Caenorhabditis elegans: one gene and its partner. Each later gene encodes a partner of the first gene's protein in a complex. Each region holds a gene or a part of one and is shown on either strand. Other genes may lie near its edges.

What was found. Proteins that work in one complex are often made in the same cells at the same time.
Region 2: top-3A (region 1) and rmif-2 share a complex: the UniProt entries of both Caenorhabditis elegans proteins name them as parts of the BTR double Holliday Junction dissolution complex.

Annotation. Positions count from the first base shown.
Region 1 is NC_003281.10:11,956,065-11,963,788, forward strand, and holds the start of top-3A (DNA topoisomerase 3), read right to left. Parts: upstream 4,117-7,724; 5' UTR 4,105-4,116; coding exon 3,961-4,104; intron 2,647-3,960; coding exon 2,486-2,646; intron 1,497-2,485; coding exon 1,368-1,496; intron 1,290-1,367; coding exon 1,108-1,289; intron 31-1,107; coding exon 1-30. Other genes in the region: Y56A3A.28 (C2H2-type domain-containing protein), read right to left, coding at 5,889-6,141, 7,354-7,679. UniProt on the Caenorhabditis elegans protein: Component of the BTR double Holliday Junction dissolution complex, which is involved in homologous recombination during meiotic double strand break in the germline.
Region 2 is NC_003282.8:1,180,691-1,188,564, reverse strand, and holds rmif-2 (RecQ-mediated genome instability protein 2 homolog), read right to left. Parts: upstream 5,974-7,874; 5' UTR 5,904-5,973; coding exon of another isoform or gene 5,775-5,903; 5' UTR 5,591-5,774; coding exon 5,482-5,590; intron 5,368-5,481; exon of another isoform or gene 5,261-5,367; intron 4,776-5,260; exon of another isoform or gene 4,701-4,775; intron 3,842-4,700; coding exon 3,653-3,841; intron 2,220-3,652; coding exon 2,194-2,219; 3' UTR 1,940-2,193; downstream 1-1,939. Other genes in the region: mdt-20 (Mediator of RNA polymerase II transcription subunit 20), read right to left, coding at 553-748; Y104H12D.2 (DUF7930 domain-containing protein), read right to left, coding at 5,775-5,903, 7,029-7,251. UniProt on the Caenorhabditis elegans protein: Essential component of the RMI complex, a complex that plays an important role in the processing of homologous recombination intermediates.

The DNA.
Region 1 (7,724 bases):
AGGAGCCATAGCTGATCACTTGGGATGTGTCTGAAAAAATTATTTAAATTTGGGAAATTTGCAAAATTTTCAGAAAAAGTTTTGGCAAATTTCCAAACTTTTCAAGGGAAAAAAATTTAAAATTTTTGATAAATTGCCAAAAATTTTAGTAAAAAAATTGGTAAATTTCCAAATTTTTCTAGAAAAATACCAAATTTTGTGGTAAGTTGCCAATTTTTTTTTGTAATTTGCTAAAATTTCCCTACGGAAATTTCCCCTGAAATGGAAGAGTTTTTGCCGAACTAGGCCAGGCCATATCTGGGGTAGATTTACGGCGCGCGTTGCGTGTCGCGTCGCGGCTCGATTGTAAAACTAAATGCATTTGTCCGTGTGAAGTACACGCCTTTCCGTGATTTTCACGGGGTTCTGGTCTTCCTTATTGCATTTTCCGCGCTCCATTGACAATCGCCTGCCGGACTCCACACGGACAAATACATTTAGTTTTACAATCGAGCCGCGACGCGACACGCAACGCGCGCCGTAAATCTACCCCAGATATGGCCTGGCCTAGTTCGGCAAAAACTCTTCCATTTCAAGTCATGGGAAGCCAGAAATCCGTGAAAAAAATTTTTAGTAGAAAAACGGGAAATTTTCAAATTATTCTAGAAAAATACCAAATTTTTTTTTGTGTACTTTGCTAAAATTTTCCGCCGAAATTTTGGTAAATTGCCAAATATTCTGGTAAATTAATAAAAAAATTTAAATTTTCCGCCAAAAATCCAATTTTCATAAAATTGGGAACTTTGTTTGATAAATTCCCAAATTTTTAATAAATCACATTTTTTTCTGGTATATTTTAATTAAAAAAAAAAAAAATTTTATAGAAAATTGGCAAATTTCCGGCAAATTGGCAAATTTTACCCCAGAAAATTGGTAAATTGGGCAAGTTTTTGGAATCGCCAAAATTTTGGAAACTGTCAAATTTTAATGTATATTTTCAATTTTTTCTGCAATATTTTTTTTTTTTGGAAAACCTCCAAACTTTCAGTAAATTGCCCAAATTTTGGTATTTTTCCAAACTTTTTTTTCAAAAATTATTTTTTTTTGCAAATTTCCCAATTTCTCTACCATTTTGCCCCAGTAAATCTCTGAATCGATTCCTTAAATGCAACGTCTGTAGTCTTGTAAAAGCGGATCCAATTCGAAGATCCAATTCACTTCGACAATCAACTGCGGCAACGGTCTTCTCGTCGAGTCGGATGAGATTCCGAGCTGCTCGTGTGATGGCTGCTTTTGTGATTTCGGAGAATCTATAATAAAATTTGGGAATTTTATATTTTGCGCGTCAAATATGTTGTGTAGTACGCATTCTCAGAGTTTTGTGTTACCTCGCTCTGAAAATATCCAGCCGCCGGTTGCTATCTCTGCAAACTTTAACAATTTCAGCGCCAATTGCTTCACCTTCTCGATCGCAATCTGTCCAGACTACCAGGATATCGTGTCGTTGGGCTTGTTCTCTGAAAAGTTCCAAAAATTTCTATAAAGAACCTATATGCTTGCCTGCCTACACGCCTACATCATGCCCATCTACATCGATACCTTAAGCTTACTATTCGTTTGCCAGAACGCCCACGGTATGCTTGCCTACCTCCGCGTCTACACGCCTACTCTATGCTTGCCTGCCTACGCACTTATCTCATACCTACCTACGCGCCTACTCAATGCTTGCCTACCTAGCCACCTACTTCATGTCTACCTACAAAAATACCTTAAGCTTCCTATACGTTCGCCTTTAAGCCCACCGTATGCTTGCCTGCCTACGCGCCTTCCTCATGCCTACCTACGCGCCTGCGCGCCTACTCAATGTTTGCCTGCCTAGATGCCTACCTACATGTATACCTTCAGGTATACCTTAAGCTTCCTATAAGTTTGCCTGCACGCCTACTATATGCTTGCCTGCCTAGACGCCTACATCATGCCTACCTACGCGCCTACACCATGCCTACCTACGCACCTACACGCCTACTCTATGCCTGCCTGCCTAGACGCCTATCTACATGTATAAATTTTCGCCTACACGCCTACTTCATGCCTACCTACGCACCTACACGCCTAATCTATGACTGCCTACGCGCCTACTCCACGCTTGCCTACACGCCTACTTCATGCCTACCTACGCGCCTACACGCCTACTCCACGCTTGCCTGCCTAGACGCCTACATCATGCCCACCTACATCAATACCTTAATCTTAGTATACGTTCGCCTATACGCCCACCGTATGCTTGCCTACCTACGCGCCTACTCGCCTACTCCACGCTTACCTGCCTACACGCCTACCTCCTGCCTACCTACGCGCCTTTTCGCCAACCTACAAGTAATAGATACATTTCTCATGCCTACCTACCTGCCTACAAGCTCACCTTATGGCTACCTACGCGCCTACGCGCCAACAAAAGACTGCCTACTTTATGCCTGCCTTCCCCCCCCCCCCCGTAAAATTTAACCTTAATGTCTGCTCGATGAGCTTCATCTCTGGTGTGACAACATGCCGAACCGGAGCTCGAAACAACTCGACCATCGACGCCGTTTGCCAATTCGACATATTCTCGTGAAATTGGAAATTCATCATATGTCCCGAAACACTTGTCACCGAAATTGCGGTTTGCTGCAAAAATAGGATTTTTCTTGCTTAGAAATACTCAAACTAGTCTCGAATTCCGTATAAATCACAAAAAAACCGAAAAAAAATAGCGAAAAATTGAAAAATCCAACTTTTTGAACCTGCGACCAATCAGCGCGATTCGCTCCGCCCACTTTCCAACCAATCAGATGGAGTGGGCGGGGTTTGGTGGATTTTTCTTTATATAAGACTATTTTTGGATATTTCAAACACCTCCTAACCCCGCCCACTACCCCTGATTGGTTGAAAAGTGGGCGGAGCGAATCGCTGATTGGTCGCGGTTTTTATTTTCCGAAAATTGATAAAAATAGTGATTTTTTTGCTTAGAAATACTCAAAATAGTCTTAAATTCCGTATAAATCACAAAAAAACCGAAAAAAATAGCGAAAAATTGAAAAATCCAACTTTTTGAACCTGCGACCAATCAGCGCGATTCGCTCCGCCCACTTTCCAACCAATCAGATGGAGTGGGCGGGGTTTGGTGGATTTTTCTTTATATAAGACTATTTTTGGATATTTCAAACACCTCCTAACCCCGCCCACTACCCCTGATTGGTTGAAAAGTGGGCGGAGCGAATCGCTGATTGGTCGCGGTTTTTATTTTCCGAAAATTGATAAAAATAGTGATTTTTTGCTTAGAAATACTCAAACTAGTCTCGAATTCCGTATAAATCACAAAAAAACCGAAAAAAAATAGCGAAAAATTTAAAAATCCAACTTTTTGAACCTGCGACCAATCAGCGCGATTCGCTCCGCCCACTTTCCAACCAATCAGATGGAGTGGGCGGGGTTTGGTGGATTTTTCTTTATATAAGACTATTTTTGGATATTTCAAACACCTCCTAACCCCGCCCACTACCCCTGATTGGTTGAAAAGTGGGCGGAGCGAATCGCTGATTGGTCGCGGTTTTTATTTTCCGAAAATTGATAAAAATAGTGATTTTTTGCTTAGAAATACTCAAACTAGTCTCGAATTCCGTATAAATCACAAAAAAACCGAAAAAAAATAGCGAAAAATTTAAAAATCCAACTTTTTGAACCTGCGACCAATCAGCGCGATTCGCTCCGCCCACTTTCCAACCAACCAGATGGAGTGGGCGGCGTTTGGTGAATTAAGACTATTATTTTGGGTATTTCAAACACCTCCTAACCCCGCCCACTTCACCTGATTGGTTGAAAAGTGGGCGGAGCAAATCGCTGATTGGTCGCAGTTCTTATTTACCGAAAATTGATTAAATAGTGATTTTTTGCGGATTTTAGACTATTTTGGGTATTTCAGAGCCAAATGACTGCTGGTACCTGTCCAAAAAGCTCGGTATTCAACGTGTAAATCTTGTTAAACTTGCTCCGCCCCTCTCGTCGATTCGCTGTTCCATTTGATAAAATCGCAGCGACTCCCTTTGCCACGTCATTCTTCTCGGCCACAAATAAGGCTCTTTTCATTGGGAATTTGAGCTTAAAATTATGTTTTTTTTTCAGTTTTAAAAAATGAGAGAGAGCGTTGAGAGCGTTCACAAAAAGTTAAAAAAATTTTTTTTTTTCAACATTTCAAAAAAAAAATTTTTTATTGAAAATTTGAGATTTTTTCCAAAAATGTTTTATTAAGTATTTCGACATTACAAAACACTTTCAGAAAAAAACTTTTTTTTTTCTGAAAGTATTAATTAATTTTTTAAAACGTTTTGTGCTCATTTGCAAATGATATTTTGTGTATTTCCCCTATTTGTAAAAATGCTCTTCCAAAAAAATTTAAAAAAATTTTTTTTTGAAAAATAATCAAAAAAATTTCAAAATTTTTTGAGAAAATTTAAAATATTTTTAATTTTGTTGGATTTGTTAATATGGTTATTTTTAGGTTTGGAAGTGGTTTAAATTTTAGGAAAAAAATTAACTTTTGAACAACAAAAAATATTAAAAAAAAAAACATTTCGAAAAAAATTCAAAAAAAAATTCCAATAAAAAAATTATTTTTTTTTAAAATTTCTAATGATTGTATAATAATTTCTTCAAAATTTGATTCGAAAAAAATCACAATTTTTTCTCCTAAAAAATTTCAAAAAAAAAATTTTTTTCCAAAAATCTTTTTAAAAAATCAAATAAATCTGGTGTAAAGACCTGAAACAAAAACTTGCAAAACATATAAAAATTATTTTTCATAAAAATTGAAATTTATTCACAATTGCGGTAAAAAAAGCAGAGAATTATCATTAAAAAATGACATTTGTATGAGGTGATTACGGTGAAATGATATTACATGTACGAGAGGGGTGGGGGTTTTCAGGGAAAAATGTGAACAATTCGAAAAAAAAAAATAGAATGTGATTACTTTTGCATGTCGGCTCAAGTAGGTCGATTGCACCATGTTTTTTCCAATATTTTTCTTCATTGGTTTAGTCGAAATTGCCTGAAAACACCGAATTTCAGAATGAAACTTCTTGGAAAATTCTCAAAAAAAAAAGTTATGGCGGCTCAAAAATGACTTAGTTGAAATTTGAAATTTGAGCGGCTGGAAACTAACTTTTTTGAAATCACCGTCTAATTTTGGGAAACATTTTGGAAATTTAACTTTAAATTTGGCAATTTACCAAATACTTGAAAGTTTTTCAAAAAAATTGGCAATTGAGCAAAAAAAAAACATTGACTGAAAAGTTATGCAATTTTCTAAAAATTGGTATATTTTCAATTGTTTTTGCCAATTTTTCAAAAAAAAAACATTGACTGAAAAATTGGGCATTTTATCAAAAAATTGGCATATTTTCAATTTTTGTGGCAATTTTTCAACAAAAAAAAACTGGCGATATTCCAAAAAATGTGGCAAATTACCACAAAATTTGGCTATTCACTTGATTCTTTGACTTGGAAATTTTCGAAATTTACCAAAACTTCTACTAAAAATTTTGCGAATTGATAACCATTTAAATGTACCTAAATCGAGTTGAAAACGCAAGATAATTAACTTGTATAGCCAAAATTAGACGGTGATTTTTCAAAAAAGTTAGTTTCCAAGACGGTCAAATTTCAAATTTTAACTAATTTAGGGTCATTTTTTGAACCGTCATAACTTTTTTTTTGAGAAGTTTTCAAAAAGTTTCACTATGAAATTCGTTGTTTTCAGACAGTTTCGAGTCTAATAACAAAGTATGGAAAATCATGTGAATAATCTGAAAATAATAATGATTTCAGAAAAAATATTTTTTAAAAAATCAAATGGTGCAATGTGACATTTTTCATTCATAAACTTCTTCTTCTTCATCATCTTCGTCTCCAATTGGAGCTTCCTCTATAATCTCTTCCTCTTCTTCTACATAAGGCTCATTTGAAGTGGATGCGGCGGCAGCCGATATATAAGTATGATCTTCTCGAAGTTGCCGTCGGCGTGTCGCCGCGACGGATACTCGAACGGATTTCTCGTTTACAGTGTACTTCATTGTTGTCGGTATCGATTCGACTTGGTCTTCGGGGTGATATCGAGGAATTGTTCTGAAAAAAATGGTTTTTCGAAAAAAAATTTATAAACCTTTATAGGCCAATTTTGATTTTTTTAGGCCAATTTTTTTATTCAGGCCAATTTGGAATTTTTCAGGTCTATTTTGATTTCTTTAAGGCTAATATTGATTTTAAAGCCAATTTTGATTTTATAGGTCAATTTAATTTTTTTAGGCCAATTTTGTTTTTTAAGGCCAATTTGAAATTTTAAAGCCAATTTTGATTTTTCTGGCCAACTTGCGATTTTTAAGCCAATTTTGATTTTTTTAGGCCAATTTTTTTATTTAGGCCAATTTGGAATTTTTCAGGCCACTGAGGTTTTTAGACCAATTTTGAAATTTTTAAAGCCAATTTTTTTATTTAGGCCAATTTGGAATTTTTCAGGCCACTGAGGTTTTTAGACCAATTTTGAAATTTTTAAAGCCAATTTAGATATTTTTAGGCCAATTTCGATGTTATAGGCCAATTTTGTTTTTTAAGGCCAATTTGAAATTTTAAAGCCAATTTGGATTTTTTAAGGCCAATTTGGAATTTTTAAGGCCAATTTAGATTTTTGGGCCAATTTTAATTTTTTAGGCCAATTTGGAATTTTTAAGCGAAATTTGATTTTATAGGCCAACTGGATTTTATTGGCCAATTTAGTTTTTTAAAGGATAATTTGAAATTTTTAAGCCAATTTGAATTTTTTTTTAGTCAATTTTGATTTTATAGGCCAATTTTAGATTTTTTGGTTTAATTTTGTATTTTTCAAGCCTATTTTAAATTTTTGAGGCAAATTTGGAATTTTTAAGCCAATTTATATTTTTTTAAAGCCAATTTTTCATTATTTTAAGCTGATTTTTATTTGTTGTGCCAATTAGGATTTTTTAAGTCAATTATTATTTTTTAGGCCAATTTAAATTTTTTCAGGACGATTTTTATTTTTAGGCCAATATTTATTTTTTAGGAAAATTTATATTTTTTTAGGCCAATTTCGATTTTTCTGGCCAACTTGCGATTTTTAGGCCAATATAAATTTTTTCAGGACGATTTTTATTTTTTAGGCCAATTTTCATTTTTTTAAGGCTAATTTCGATTTTTTTTGGCCAATAAGGGTTTTAAAGCTAATTTTTGATCATCAAAATGAATTTTTTGAACATTTTTAAAGTTAAATTCTGATCTAATTACTGTAAATTGACTCAAAAAATTTGGAAATTTTCTTCTGACCTAGATCTTCTCATAATTGGTCCTTTTATAACCGCATTTCTAATATGATGATTAACAATGTGTCGATCCAGATTCCTCTTCGTTATCGTTCGATAATCACAACTCGGACACACATACGGCTTCTCTCCAGTATGTGCTCTTTTGTGCACTTTTAACGATGATGTCGTTCGAAAACGCTTTCCACAATAGTCACATCCATACGGCTGTTCGCCAGTGTGAATTCGGAAATGAGCCGCAAAATTGTGCCTATAGAGCACAAGACCGCACGTTGGACACTCCATTTTTGGTTTCGAGCCGTCGTCCTGATTCGCTGGAGCTCCGACTACCTGAATATTGATTTTTGTTAAGGGTAGAGTGCCGAAATTTTTAAA
Region 2 (7,874 bases), on another chromosome or scaffold:
GCTTAGATGCTGAAATTACCTGATTTTCATAACGAGACCGCTGAAAAAGTTTTGAGGTTTTCAAAATTCAACGTTTTGTGCGAAAATCTCGACTTTTTCACCAAAAAAAGTTGAATTTTGAAAACCTCAAAACTTTTTCAGCGGTCTCGTTATGAAAATCAGGTAGTCTCAGCATCTAAGCATCATATGTATCATGTTTCAGAAAAAGTTTAGGTTTTGTATTCCCGTAATCCATCATATTACAATGCCCACTTTCACCGCTGCTTGCCCACTGAATACATTATTTTTTTACTTGGAAATTGTTTTAGCATCTGCAAAAAATATTTATTTATCAGTTTTATTAAGAAAAAACGAAAAAAAATCGATGAAAAACAAAAGAAAACAGGCGGAAAACAATACAAGATAAATGGCCGCTGAAACTTGTCGGCCCCTCGGCCATGGCCTAGAAACCACTTTTCCTCGTCCCTCGTCAGGAAAAAAGTTGCAGTGTTTTTAGGTCAGATTCCTTCAATTTTCGCGATTTTTCCACTGAAAACTCGGGTGGGTGCTCACAAATGGAAAACGTTGATTGTGGGCATTTCGAGTGATGCATCACCACATTTGACGGATAATCGGAACTCGGTGTCGGCGGATTGAATGGGGTGACGTCGACGATAAATGTTCCGTGAAGATCGCCTCCGATCGATTCCAACAGTCGTTCCACTGATTTTGCCGTTTGTTCTGCTTCGAAAACCCATGTGACACCCATTTTTTGATGCGAAAAACTGGAAAATTGGAAATTTTCGGGTTACTGTAGCCCGATGAGTTGTTTGGCAAACCGGATCTTACGACAAATTGCAGAAAACGCCTTTTTCGTGAAATTGGACGAAAAAACTGGAAATTTTCGAGTTAATTTTGAAGAAAAAACTAGTTTTCACCAAGAAAACTGCAATTTTTGCAAAAATTTGGTTACGGTAGCCCCGTTTCTGTGCAAACACAAATAGGGGCACCAAATCTTACGACAAATTGCAGAAAACTTCTGAAAACATTGTCAGAAACGCAGGTATCAGCGCAAAATATCACATTTTCATTAGGCTAAGCGTAAAAATTAGCGGTTTTCTGCAATTTGTCGTCAGATTTGGTGTTTCGGCGCCGTGTTTGCACAGAATCGGAGCTACCGTAGCCCGGAGCTTGAAAAAAATCATTTTTAAGCTGATTTTTTAGCTAAAAACTAGAAATTCGCATCAACAATTGCTATTTTCCGTTTTTTCCAAAATTGCAATTTCCGGGTTACTGTAGCCCCAGTTGTTTGGCAAACACCTGATCTTACGACAAATTGCAGAAAACGCAGAAAAATTGAAATTTCTGTATTTTGTCGTGAAATCAGGGCCAGAATTTTCTTTTTTTACAGAAATTGAGGTTTTTTTAAGCTGAAATATTGAAAAATTTCGGTGGAAATCGAGAAAATTGGCCCCAAAAACTGAATTTTTGCGAAATTTCAATTTACGGGTTACTGTACAGTGCATTTTTTTTCCAACTTCTACGACTTTAAAGGCGCGCGCATTTATACAAAATGGTCCCGTCATTGGTCTCGCCATGCGCGTGGCGAGACCCATGTGCGAAAATGCGCGCGCCTTTAAAGTCGTAGAAGTTGGAAAAAAATGCACTGTAGTCCCGTCTCTATACAAACACACCGGATTTTACGACAAAATGCAGAAAATCTATTTTTCTGCATTTTGTCGTCGGATCTGGTGTCTTGGCGCTGTGTTTGCACAAAAGTGAGGCTACAGTAATCTCTGCATGCATTTTTTTGTAATTAAATTGACAAAAACTTTAATTTTTCGTTAAAAATACGAAATTTTTCATATTTTTCTAGATTTTTTAAAAGAAATAAATATAGTTATCGCTGAAAAAAAAACAGCTGTCAGAGTCAAAAATTGCAGGAAAAATTTTCAAAAAAAAAAAAAGGAATTTTCATAGAAAAATGTACAAAAAAACTTACAAAAAAAAGGAGAAGTACCAGTAAAAAGTCAATAAATTTAAAAAACCAATTAACAAATTTGATAAGAATACCAGTTTAAATGAGAAAAATTGGGAGAAACCGAGAGATTTTGAAGTTTTCGAGGAAGCAGAGAAACAGAGAAATTTAGAAAAAAACAAAAAAACATTTTTGCGAAAAAAAAATTAGAGACGCAGACGATGACGGAGAGATGATCAGTTGGCTGTTGGTGAGATGATCACTGAAAATTGGAAATAAATTTGAAGTTTTTAGCCCAAAAAAAATTGAAAATTTGGGCATAGCTTCCGCATCTCCAGTGACAAATGTGCTCTATTGCACCGAATTGTTGGTTGGAATACGGTATTTATTGCATATTTCAGCCGAGAATACCACTATTCAAACCATCAATTCGGATAGAGAAACACACAAGTCACAGAAATTTGAGTTTCGCGAAAAAAAAATACTCATTTTGCACAGAAAAATTTAATTTTCAGACGTTCAAAAAAAAATTTATTGGAATTTTGAGCATTAAAATCGAATTCCTCGCCATTTTCTTAGTCTAAACTCAAAATTTCAGCTCAAAATTCAGAAATAGGGTGAAATTCGGCGTTTGCGTATTTTTGGGGCTACAGTAACCCTCGATATTTCAAAATTCAGCTAGAAACCGCGAAATCTGAGAAAAAGGGCGTGAAAATTTAGGCGAAAATTTAGCGATTTTGACAAAGTTTTCAGGCTGAAAAATGGAAAATTTGGGCATAGCTTCCGCATCTCCGGTGACAAATGTGCTCTATTGCACAAATTGTTGGTTGGAATACGGTATTTATTGCATATTTCAGCCGAGAATACCACTATTCAAACCATCAATTCGGATAGAGAAACACACAAGTCACAGACAATATACAGGGAAATTTAGTTCAGTTACCGAGTTGCCGTATTAAAATTTATAGCATTCCTCGGTAACTGGGATAGAAAAACAAGCGGAAAAGCTTAAAGTTCTAATATTTTTAAACAAAAAATCATTTTTTACTAAGAGAATGACAATTTTCTAAAAATTGGGTTACTGTAGCCTACTTTATGTGCAAACACAACGAAAAATCGATATTTCTGCAATTTACCGTAAAATATGTTGCAAAATCCGAATTTTGTGAAAAAAATGCGGGTGCACTGCAAAAATGTTGAATTTTTGATTACTGTAGTGTGCCGACTATACACCGAATTCGACGACAAATTGCAGAAAAACTCTATTTTAGGCTAAAATTACGAAAACTATGGCATTGAAACTACCGTTTTTGATAATATTTTCTTCTTTTTTTCTGCATTTTTTTTTCTGCACATTGGCGTAAGATCTGGCGCCTGGGAGCGGTGTTTGCACAGAACTGGGGCTACAGTAACCAAAAACATTGAAAAATTAAGATTTTTGCGAAAATTAACCCGATAACACTGTTTTCAAAGCTGAAAATCAAAATTTTCCAAATAAAAATCCTGTTTTTGACTGGAAAAATTAGCTCTTTTTCAATTTTTGCGTGAAATTCATTAAAAATGTCAATTAAGAAAAAAATAGGAAAATTTGAATTTTCCGACATTTTCTCAAGAAAATTCGAAAAGTGATTTTTTTTTTCCAATTTTTTGTAAAAAATCGCAATTTTTCTGCAATTTTCCTCAAAAAACCCATACTTTTCCCCTCTTTTTTAGCTTTTCGAAGATCCTTCAACAATTTCTCGTACACCATAGCCAACATCTTTGGAATCGGCGTCAAACGTGTGCATTTCTCCGAGGAGCCATCGAAAACAAAGTGAAAAAGGAACAAATCGCCAATTTCCATTGTGAAACCTTCCGCAAATGGGCATTTCAGCTCGTAGGTGCCTGAAAATTGGGGGGATTTTTAGTTTTTAGTACATTTTTCTATGAAAATTCCTTTTTTTTTTTTGAACATTTTTCGTGCAATTTTTGACTCTGACAGCTGTTTTTTTTCAGCGATAACTATATTTATTTCTTTTAAAAAATCTAGAAAAATATGAAAAATTTCGTATTTTTAACGAAAAATTAAAGTTTTTGTCAATTTAATTACAAAAAAATGCATGCAGAGATTACTGTAGCCTCACTTTTGTGCAAACACAGCGCCAAGACACCCGATCCGACGACAAAATGCAGAAAAATAGATTTTCTGCATTTTGTCGTAAAATCTGGTGTGTTTGTATAGAGAAGGGACTTCTACGACTTTAAAGCCGCGCGCATTTTCGCACAATGGTCTCGCCACGCGCATCCCATTGATTTGTTGAGCGCGTGGCGAGACCAATGACGGGACCATTTTGTATAAATGCGCGCGCCTTTAAAGTCGTAGAAGTGAGAAAAAAAAATGCACTGTGGGAAAAATGCACTGGGGCCAATTTTCTCGATTTCCACCGAATTTTTTCAATATTTCAGCTTAAAAAAACCCCAATTTCTGTAAAAAAAAAAGAAAATTCTGGCCCTGATTTCACGACAAAATACAGCAATTTCAATTTTTCTGCGTTTTCTGCAATTTGTCGTGAGATCTGGTGTCTGCACAGAATCGGAATCGCTACAGTAACCCGAAATTTTGAATTTTAAGCGGAAAAAAAAGGATTTTTCCTCGAAATTTTGAGTGAAAATGACCATTTTCGGGGAACTTGTTGTGTTCAATCACGGCGGCTAGACGACACCCGATCCCACGAAAAAATGCAGAAAAGTTGGATTGTGGCTCATTTTCTGCATTTTGTCGTAAAATCCGGTGTCTGTGAGGCGGTGTGTTTGCACAGAATTGGGGCTACAGTAATCCGGAAATCAAACATTTCGCTAAAAATCTGTTTTTGGTGCAATTTTCACTAATTTCCACTTGAATTTTCAAATTTTCAGCTAAAAAAAGCTAAATTTCTGTCAAAAATTGAAACTTTTACGACAAAATGCGTAAAACTTCACTTTTGAGCGTTTTCTGCAATTTGTCGTGAGATCTGGTGTCTACACAGAATCGGGCCTACAGTAATCCGAAATTTTAAGTTATAAGCGAAAAAAAAAAGGATTTTTCCGCGTCTAGACACCAGATCTTACGACAAAATGCAGAAAAATCGGGTTTTTCTGCATTTTGTCGTAAGGTCTGGTGTTTGCTTTTAGTAACCAAAAACATCGTGAATTAGCCCGGAAACGCCGCTTTTTATGCTCAAAATCACATTTTTCATATAAAAATCCAGTTTTTTACTTGAAAAATTAGCACTATGTCATTTTTTAATGAAAAATCGAATTTGTGGTTACCGTATCCCTAAATCCGTGCAAAAACCGCATCAATGCACCGGATTTTACGACAAAATGCGGAAAAACGCGGTTCTACGTAATAATCGAATTTTTTCTGCATTTTGTCGTAAGATCCGATGCATTGGTGTGATGTTTGGGGCTACAGTAACCCAAAAATGACAATTTTTCGGCGTTTTCCGCACCAAAAATCGATAATTAAGTGGATTTTGCAGTTTTTCCGCAAAAAAAAAACCTACCCGTCTTATCTCGAATCTTGGGCGGTGTGATTGATTCCACAAATGCACAAATGATAGTTTCTCCGGTGCAGCGGCTCGCGATACTTGCACAATCGTCTCGATCGCACATTTTCTATGGATTTTCCGGTTTTTTGGGGTAAAAAATGGGTGAAAATAGGTAAAAAAAAGCCGGAATTTTAACCGATTTTGTGCGGAAAATAAGTGCAAAATTGTGAAAAAAAAACCCAATAATTAGTATTGACAAACACGTTTTCGAGAATAAAACCGAAAAAAAAACCAAAAAAAAAATCCCATTATTCCGTGCAATTTTCACGGGAAAAATAGCAATCTGGAAGTGCTGACGGTGGCAATTGATCCAATATTGATGAGTATCGATCCATATCTTCTGGATGATTTTGGAGCAGTTTTCGGAACATGATTGTCTGAATATTTCAGGTTTTTAGGCGAAAATTTAGTGATTTTGACAAAGTTTTCACGTGAAAAATTGAAAATTTGGGCATAGCTTCCGCATCTCCAGTGACAAATGTGCTCTATTGCACAAATTGTTGGTTGGAATACGGTATTTATTGCATGTTTCAGCCGAGAATACCACTATTCAAACCATCAATTCGGATAGAGAAACACACAAGTCACAGACAATATACAGGGAAATTCAGTTCAGTTGCCGAGTTGCCGTACTCAAAATTTATAGCATTCCTCGGTAACTGGGATGAAAAACGCCGAAAATGTTAGAAAAAAAAACGGATAAGCTTAGAAATTCAGATTTTCAACACAATTTTGAGAAAAATTAGCAAAATCCAAGCTAATCCTAGGTTTTCAACAAAAAATTGGAAATTAGGTAGAATTTTTCGGTTTTTACAGCTTTTTAATTTAAAAAACTTTTTTAAAGTTTAAAAAAAATTTACATTTTTGGAAAAAAAACTAGTCAAAATGTGTGAAATTTTTCAAATTTTTTGAAAAATGTCGTCAGAAAATTGATTTAAATTTAGAAAATGGACTAAAACTTTTTCTAAGCGTAGCAAAATCGGTCAAAGTATCCTAATTTGTTTAGATATTTGAAAAATTTTGAATTTTTTTTAATTCCTGAAAATTTCCAATTTTTCATTTTTTTGCAAAGGAGGCCAGAAATATCTGAAAACGGTATGGAAAATGGGTTTTCCGAATTTTTATCTAATTTTTGTTGACAAAATAATTTAATTTACATAAAAATCAACCTTTTTAATAAAATATTCACATTTCTAACAAAAGTTAGTAAAATATCAAATTTTTAGCGCATTTTTAGTAAAAATTAAGGCTCTAAAATGCCAATTAAAGTGGAAAATTATAAAAAATTCTGCATAAAACCGGTAAAATTTAACCAGAAATATCAAAATTTCAGCCAAAGTGGGAGCTTCCAAAATAAACTTTTTGGATCTAAAATTGAATGTTTTTTTTTCACTTTTTTTAACGCAAAATTCCGAATTTCCAGGCAATTTAGGGTTAAAATTTCCGATTTTCTCAGCTCATTTTTAGCGGAAAATCCCAAATTTCCACTCAAAACCCCGTACCACAAGACACGCAGGAGTCTGTGCATACGAATCCGACGTGTTCACTTTTTTCGGCATCACAAGTTCATGAGAATCGGCAATTTTTTTCCATTCAACAGCGTCATATCTTCCATTGATTAGCATAGCTTTGAACATAACGTGATTATCGATTGATATGACGTCATTTAGTGCTCGAGCCGAAGGACTATCATCTGCTCCGCCAGTGTATTTTAGAATTGGGCATCTGCAAAAAAAAAGGCGATTTTTGGTGAAAATTTTAAGTTTTTTGGCCAAAAATTTATGAAATTTGGCCCAATTTTGGCTTTTAAAAGGTGTTTTTCCTGAAAAATGAAAATTTGGGCATAGCTTCCGCATCCCCGGTGACAAATGTGCTCTATTGCACCGAATTGTTGGTTGGAATACGGTATTTATTGCATATTTCAGCCGAGAATACCACTATTCAAACCATCAATTCGGATAGAGAAACACACAAGTCACAGACAGTATTGGGAAATTCAGTTGCCAAGTTGCCGTATAATTTTGACCTACTTTGCGCAAAGTCTGAAAAGGTTGGGTCTCGCCACGAAAAAAAATTCGAATTTCCTTTAAAAATAAACAAAAAATACAAATTTTCCGATTTTCATGGGAAAAACATCGAAAAATTCAAAAATTTGCCGTTTTTTCCGTAAAAAACGGATTTTTTACCTGGAAAAAGCCACAAAAAATTCCGAAAAACAAGCGGAAAAGCTAAAAATTCTAATTTTCAGCAGGATTTTGATAAAAAATTAGAACAATCCAAGAAACCACTAGGTTTTCAACAAAAATTGGAAATTGAGCAGAATTTTTCAGTTTTTACAGCTTTAAAAA